2 linked regions of the Oryzias latipes genome follow. The main gene of each other region encodes a partner of the protein of the gene in region 2 in a complex. Links are inferred from orthologs where the notes say so. Each region holds a gene or a part of one and is shown on either strand. Other genes may lie near its edges.

Region 1 (4,275 bases), on a different chromosome or scaffold from region 2:
GGCTTTTTTCCCCTAAAACTACATTTGACAATTGGAAGATGAACGTTTGAAGATTTAGTTCACGTCTCACCTGTTCTGAAGAACATGATCAGAAACCTTCTCCTGCCTGAGCTGCAGTGCCTGGAATGTCCTGGAAACAAAGGACCCTGGAGGTGACGACACCCACCTGAGCAATCCACACAGAAAGAAACAACCGATCTGGAGGAGGCAGCTCTGCTGAAAAAAGAACTAATGACTTTTATTGGGCAAATGTTACTGATGGATGGACTGACGACGGGCTTTCAGCAGGGACAGCAAGACAGTATAATAATCTATAATAAGGGATGTTACAATACCGGACAAATAAATCAATATATTGTATCTGATTGGAGACCAAATACTAATATTTTCTTGTAGGTGGCAGTAGCTGCGAAATATTTTAGCTGTGTTTAGAATAAGTTTAAAAGAAATTTCCAATTCAAAATAATTGGAAAATAAAGTTTTAGTCAACTTTATTGAAATATGTTGCCAGCACATTTCGATCAGTTGTAAGTAATGTTAGAATCTTCACTTAGTCCAGAACTATGATGGAGGTTCTAATATATTTTCTATCTACATTTTTCCCAGTCAAAAGAAGACAAAAAACATTAGACTTGGTTTGACCATGGATGAACCATGACGTCTGACCACCAGCAGGGGGAGCAGAGAGCACACGGCAGTTTAAAACAGCGAAGAAGAAGCGTCACGTGACAGCGAAGAAGAAGCGTCACGTGACTGCAGCTCTTTGGAAATTCACGGTGGTAGCATCAGCTGATTGTTTGTTTAAACGTTCAGAGGACCGAGCTCACTGTGGAAACGCTCCGGACGGGCTCGTCGTGTTTTGGATTCGGAGCCGGCGGTTCTCCTGACTTCCTGTGACGGAACCGGCTTGGGTCCTCGGAGCTGCCATGGCGGACGTGAGTCTGTCTGTCCTCCTTTAGCACCTCCTGTTCTGTTAGGCTTCACTAAAAACTCTTTAGTTTTTGGGAAGATGCTCAAAGTTCACTATTCTCTTCTAATTACAAAAACACACAGTATCATGTGGGATGGTTTGTAGGTGATAAATTATTTCATTTGGCATTTAATATTGTATTAATGTTTCATTCACAACAGCAAATTCTTAAAAAAAAATCAAACCATTACTTAATAAATTTTAGAGAGAGATATGTTTTTTTTAATCACTAAAGTTTATTAAAACAAAAGTGCAAAACAGATAAGCTGTGTAACAACCCTTAGTTTTATATTACATTTGTATTAGACTACAGTCCTAATTTTCATCTTTATTTCTTTCTGTTCTATACATGTGGATATGTTGTGTTAAAAACAGACGCTCTACAGAGGTCACGTGACATTTTTCCATTAACTGTTTATGAGAACTAGACTGGGTGACTCCTCCCCCTGGCTGTCCAAACAGGAAGTACCTGTTGGCTCCAAGAAGCCAGAATCCCATAGACTTCTTTGGAGAAATTAACAGCGGTTACTCGGTCACTATTGTCAGTAATGCTGGGTGAAAATGGTGGTGGGGAGACCAGGATCTTCTCTGACGGTTTGAAGCTCTAAAGCTCACAGACGTCCACGTTCTTGACTGTTTCTGAGGTTGCTCCTTAACTCTTTATGCTCCCGTCTGCAGGATCTGAAGAGGTTCCTGTACAAACAGATGCAGAGGTGAGGCTTTTGTCCCTTATTGTTATTGCACAAAGTGATTTACTTTAACTATATAACAAGAAAAAAAAATCTGTATTATAAATCAAATCTCTTTTCTCAAAAAAGAGTTTTTGTATCTTATATCACATGTAAATAGTAGTTTTCTGTGTCCTCAGTGTTGACGGGCTTCACGCTATCGTGGTGACGGACCGAGACGGCGTCCCGGTAATCAAAGGTGAGACTTCTTCTGTTTCGGGTTTTCTGTTCCAATAAACTGTGTTTTAATAACTTATTAGAAATACTTTTGGCCTCAGGGCCAACCTGCTACTCAACAGGAACGCTTTATCCTCAGCCTCAGCAGCTTCTTGTTGTGGCAGTAGTTTCATGGTTTGGGGTGACTCAGCTCTGGCTCCACTCGTACGAGTTTAGGTTAGAAGTCACCAAAGTAGAGCAGAAAATGGATCTAAAAGACTCATTCATCTGCATTTTAGGGGTCAAACTGTTGGGGATTTTTCTGACTTTTTTTTCTGGCCCTGGTCTTTGAACGCACCGCTCACCAGCAGGAAGTCCTCATCCTAACACGCCTGCTTGTTTTCCTCCAGTTGCCAACGACAGCGTTCCGGTGCACGCGCTCAGACCGGGCTTCCTGTCCACGTTCGCTCTGGCCACGGATCAGGGGAGCAAGCTGGGCCTCTCCAAGAACAAGAGCATCATCTGCTACTACAACACCTACCAGGTGACCCCTCCCAGCATCACCGCGTGGGGGCGTGGCAGCCGGAACACCGGCGCCTTTCACCCGCGCTCGCTTCATCCGGTTCCTGCCAGTTTGTGTCCGGTCCGGGTCAGATCCAGAACCAGACTCTAGTCTCCATCGTCTCTTATAGTAACAAACTTCCTGTTTGTAAACTTTTGGGGGTGGGATTAAGAGAATAGCCTCACATAAAAGCAGAGTGAGACGGACTGAAATGAGATGATCCATGGGAGTCGGATCACAACAGAAGCACTAGAGCAGGTTCTGTAAATGTCAGAGGGTTCTGAGAGTAAAGAAGAACTTCTGCTGGGACAGAGAGGAGAAAAGTCTGCAAACGTTATCCTCTGATGGAGCAGACAAAACGTCCAGCAGAGGAAAATCTCAGAATCTGTTGGTCTTCTTTTGTTTTTCATGATTTGTTAAGCCAGCTGAACTTTTTCCTGAGTTTTTTTAAGAAAAATCAGAGAAGTGAAAATATTTGGGTTTTTTTTATTGCTAAGTAAAAAAAAAAACCAAATCACTCTGATGGATTCCTTCTGCTCTGAACCAGCCTAACCCGGCCAATCTCCATGGTAACCAGACTCTGCTCTGGTTCTGCCTTTGTGACCCGTCTGCTGTCTCTGCTCGACAGATCATGCAGTTTAACCGCCTGCCGCTGGTCGTCAGCTTCATCGCCAGCAGCAGCGCCAACACAGGTGAGATGAGGAGGCGTGTCTGAGGAGCCCCGCCCACTGGTTATCTGCAGTCTGTTTGATGTTCTCTGAACAGAGCGTGTCTTAAAATGATCTCAGTCTTCATCTCCGTGCACCCCGCTGTTCGTGTGTAGCTTATTGCTGCATCGTGGGGAAGGAGAAATATCGCCATGGAAACGCAAAAACTTTTACCTGAGGCCTTTTCATCATCCAAATGAAAGAAAGCAGAGAAAGTGACTCAGCATCATCGTCCAAAATATGTTGCAATGTGGTAATACTGGCATTTAAAATACGGCTCAAGAGCCAAGAAGTTGAAGTTTATCTGAGAAAAAACCCGACATTTCAGATCATTTAGTCTGACGGGAATCTCCAGGAATGTTCTGGATTATATTTAGTGAAAAGAAGAAAAAAAGTTCTTGTCAAACCCCTTCTGACAAAAGATGAATCCTGTGAGTCTGACCCATCCTGCAGACTCAGGTGGGAGGGGCCTAATCAAAACCTAGAGTGAGCCCTCCCCCCCTGGCGTTCCAAACAGGAAGTACCTAATCCTACAGAGAAATAGACAGCTGTTACTCAGTCTTTTGATCCGAGTAAGTATTCTTACTCGGATACATTTTTTTTATGATCGTCATATTTTTCTGTGGTTCAAGTTATAAACTGACCAATCAGATAAGAGTATCCATTCGACAGATTTCATGTCTTTTAAGTGGTGGTAGGGGTGTGGAGTTCCAACAAGCTCACTCCTGATTGGTGAGAGTGGTTGCCATAGAAACATGGACTCAGATTGACTTATCGCTGCTTATATATCCTGAAAAAATGGCGAGTGAATTGACTTCATGTGGTTGGAGCTGGAGGTAAACCATTTTCTCTGTGTGATGTCACATTCAGTCCAGTGCTCATATGCAGTCAGGGGATTCTCCAGATAAACCTGATCCTGACCAGGGTAGGGTCAGATTGTTTCCATAGCAACAGACTCCAGTTAGGAGCCATCCAGCTTTGTGAAAATGAATCCATCTGGTTTTTCACACGAGTGGGAGGCGTTTTGTAAAAACCCTCCTTTTCTGTCCTCAGGCCTCATCATGACTCTGGAGAAGGAGCTGGCTCCTCTGATGGAGGAGCTGAGGCAGGTGGTGGAGGTCACATAAAGTCCCATGATGCTTTGCTAAGAAA
Region 2 (4,044 bases):
ATTGAATTCTATTTACTTGTGTTTTTGGTAAATTTCTAATTCCAAATGACAAAGTCCATTTCAGAGGTGGGAATTCCACTACATTCAATAGTTTAAAAGAGTCCAGAAGGTGGCAGCATAGTCCAAAAAAATAAATACTCAAATCCAGGTCTGCCTATATGATTATCCATGAGTCTAACCCTCACAACCACTTAATCCTGGATAATATGGTTTGTTTTGTATCTCACTGTTAAGCCACTTTGAATTAAATCATCCATTAAATGACTTAAATGTACAGTATTGAGGAGGTGGGGAAATTATTATATTCCAACATCCGGAAGTTCCAAAAGTCATGAATAGTATAGAGGAGCCAATACTCAGAAAAATAATTAGGCATGGTCTCCCACGTGACCAGCAGGTATAGAGGATGCTCATCTCTGCTGCACCTCTGTGGCACAGAAGTTGAAGCTGATTGCACAGCGTCTTGGAACTCTTATTTGTACACTTCCACATTTAAAACTACAAAGGCACACCTTAAATGCACTAAAACTAAGAAATAGAAGAAGTTGTGCAAAGGCACAGTCCATGGCTCACCCTGACTCGGACTCTAGGCACACAGTCGGTGTGTCCGTCAGGTCTCTGGTGAGAGCAGCTGCTTGTTTAGCCAGAACAGACACCACACCTCCATGTTCATCTGACAGAGATCCACGACCTAAAAAAAAAATATGTCAAAGACCCGCTCTGATGAAAATTGTGTTTTAAACATGTTCTTTTGGCATTTTTCTGATGATGGAGAACATATTCAAAAATGCATTTTTCAGGATTTGTTTATTCAAATCGTTGTGAATCAGCAGAATCCAGACTAGATCCATGGACGTCTTTGTTTTTCTCATCCGAGCAGTTATCGGGTTAAAAACTCTAGGACTGTATAGCTCTGATACTGCTCGCTATTTTTGATGTACCGCTAATGTTAGGCTTGGGGTCTGAAGGGCTGAAAGCTAGCAGGAGAGCATGTAAACAGTAAACAGATGAGTGACGACAAGTGGGCTTACTTCACGCCGACAGTCCTGCTCACAACTCAAGAGGTGAATTTTTAAAAAAACTAGTGCTGCTCTGCAGAAACTTTGTTCTGGAAAATGACTATTTTTTTTGGGTCAAAAACAGCTTCATCATAAATAAAAGACTAGGAATGCTTTTGAAATAGATCAAAAGATGATCAGAGTGGGACTTTAAATGATGACCTGCTTTAGATGCATCCTTCTGCTCATCAGATCAGTTCATTTGGACTGCAGTCTTTATTTAGAATTTAACTTTTTTCTTAAAGTAAATCTGATTTCACGTTTTTACAATGTCAGAGCACCAACAGTGTGATAATTTAACATGTAGCTTTAACATCTGGCAGCAAAGGTGTAATAACCAGCAGCAGATCAGACCACCACAGTGAGCCAGAATTCTTTGCTATGTTTGCTGGTCTGAACTGTTACTATCATATAATAGATCAAATCAGTTTGCCTCAAGAGGAAATTGTTACTTATTCAGTTGAAGACCCATTTTTAAATTATTCCGACTCAGGTCTTCAACACGGAAAACAGTCGATCAGTCATGAGAGCCAGGCATGTCCAAAGTCCGGCTTGTGGGCCAAATCCGGCCCCCTTTCAAATTTTCACCGGCCCGTAGGCTCCTACATAAAATCAACAGAACGCGTCCTGCAACAATATCTAAAAGCTGTGTGGTTGGCTAAATCAGACTTTATAAACCTGTGGAAACACTGTTGTGCGACCCTTTTGTGACACTCTCTAGCTCTTTAAGGGTCAACCTCTTAAAGGACAAATGGAAAATTTGAACATTTTTTCAGTGAAATATAAAACAACTGTGTCTGCCTAATGGGCCAGAAGACTGTGGCTGTTTTCATGGAGTTCAATATCAAGAGAAACTACCAGATAAGACATGCTAATACGACAAGCTAACTGTGAATGAACTGTGCAAAAAATATACAAATGTGACAGTAATTTTGGTAAAAACGTAGTTAGATGTCTGTTTTCTATGTGAAGACTGTCATGTAATCATGAAATGTCATGAAAAGTATCCCATTGCAGTATATTTAATTTAATGTGTTTCAAATAGTTCTAAGATTCACTGCAAATATGGGCCTCTTTGGAAAAAGTAACACATCCCGTTATGTAAGCAAAGGATGTCTTTAGGAGACAGATGTCTACACATGATCTGCACTGACCTAAACACTATGGGTCTTCTTTCTGAGTTACATCTTTGCCTCTCTCACTCACTGGCAACATTTCTCTAATGAGATTAAAGACTAAAACATCAGAAATAACAACATGATCTCTCATAAACAGCTGGCGGTGGAAACTTGTGTTTTTGGGGAAACTAAACTGTTGCGGGAATTTATTTATTAGCGAAACTGACGAACTAGAGAATATCGACTACGGGGTACTTCGTGAATAAATACATGTGATGTGACTTCCTGTTAACTCTGAAGAGTCTTACAGCCCAAGTTGTGTCCTTGTTGGTCCGTGCATAGAACCCCAACAACAGCTGGATTTTTCATGCTGCAGAAAAAACACGAAATCAAGAGAATTAGCCAAACGAATGTACGAAATGTAAAGAAACAAGCTAGTTAGCATAGATTAGAACTCACGTATCGTCAAGGTGTTGTTCGAGGGTTGACTCCATCTTTAGAAAACCGTAAAAAAATCAGAAAATGTAAAGTTCTATGGCCCAAAAATTGTATTTTTTGTTGTTGACGTTTGTTTCCTTAAATTCCTCCTGACAATCATGTGACTGTGACGTACAGTAAGAGACATCGCCAGGGTCAAACAAGACGAAGCGCGAACGGCTGAGCCAACTCAAAACTACAAAACAACCAACTAAAGACAGACTGATAACTGTATCTTTTAGTACAAATTAAAAATAATTGGTTTTCAGTAGAATAGAATAGAATAGAATAGAATAGAATAGAATAGAATAGAATTGACGGCTTAATTCAAATAAATGATTTTTGGTGTATTTTTTAATTCTTGTGACATTTTTCTGATGATGCAGGACACATAAAAAAAATAAGATTAAAATTGCATTTCTGAGTATTTCTTTATTCAAATCGTTGTGAATCAGTAGCATGTGCAAAAATGCCATTTGAAATATCCTGCAGATCTGACGTAGAAGCTACTACAAGCTACTACAACCAGCAGCATTTTCCATTATGATGGATTGGCTTGTAGATGACTAGATCCTTGTACATCTTTGTTTTCTTTGCCAGAGCTGACATCTGGATCAAAACGGTATGGCTGCATAGCTCCAATATTGCTAGCCATTTTTGTTGCATAATTTTAGGTTGGGGGCTGTGAGGGGCTGTAAACTGATGATAGGAAGCAGGGATTGGCTTAGTCCTCGCCAACAGTCCCGCCCACAACTCAGAGATGAATTTCTAATGAACTACTGCCACGCTGCAGAAACTATGTATGTCCCTGAAAACGACAAAGGTTTTTTGATTTAGCCTAAAAGCGGCATAGTTATAATTAAAAGACTACCGGTACTGGAAACACTGAAAATAGATCGAATGATTATTGGAGTGGGACTTAAACTGTTTATCTTACTGCAGTGCAGTGGCGGTTTTTGATATGGTCGATGTGGGCGGTCGCCCAGGGCGGCACTTCATAGGGGGCGGCATTTGCCGTTCCTGAGGCGTTACACATAATATGCTACATACTAAATTCAAAGAGGAAGCTTGGAGCTTTTAATTTGAAATTGCTTGAGCAGCCGACACTTAATGCTTTTATTTAGACACATCAGACTCTAAAGAATGTCTTCCTCCTATTTGCTCTTCACACTTATGGTGCAAAAAAAAAAAAAAAAAAAAAAAAAAAAAGAATACCTCAGAGTGAAACAACGTAAAACCGGCACATGAAAATGAATTAGGCAGAACAAACATCCGTGCTCAACCCAATTTCGAAAAAAGCAGGCAATGGAGATTATTTCCCACAATTCTTTGCTCCGACACAGCAGACCCGATGCGCACGTGACCACCGCCCTCTGCTGCAAGACGATTGC

What was found.
Region 1: lamtor5 (region 2) and lamtor3 share a complex: the UniProt entries of both Homo sapiens proteins name them as parts of the ragulator complex. The link is inferred for Oryzias latipes from reciprocal best matches to the Homo sapiens genes LAMTOR5 and LAMTOR3.

The regions. Positions count from the first base shown.
Region 1 is NC_019880.2:24,349,269-24,353,543, forward strand, and holds the start of lamtor3 (ragulator complex protein LAMTOR3), read left to right. Parts: upstream 1-1,465; 5' UTR 1,466-1,531; coding exon 1,532-1,564; intron 1,565-1,648; coding exon 1,649-1,683; intron 1,684-1,838; coding exon 1,839-1,897; intron 1,898-2,264; coding exon 2,265-2,398; intron 2,399-3,044; coding exon 3,045-3,108; intron 3,109-4,176; coding exon 4,177-4,250; 3' UTR 4,251-4,275. UniProt on the Homo sapiens protein: As part of the Ragulator complex it is involved in amino acid sensing and activation of mTORC1, a signaling complex promoting cell growth in response to growth factors, energy levels, and amino acids.
Region 2 is NC_019865.2:10,897,382-10,901,425, forward strand, and holds the start of lamtor5 (ragulator complex protein LAMTOR5), read right to left. Parts: upstream 2,810-4,044; 5' UTR 2,671-2,809; coding exon 2,636-2,670; intron 2,547-2,635; coding exon 2,485-2,546; intron 692-2,484; coding exon 574-691; intron 1-573. UniProt on the Homo sapiens protein: As part of the Ragulator complex it is involved in amino acid sensing and activation of mTORC1, a signaling complex promoting cell growth in response to growth factors, energy levels, and amino acids.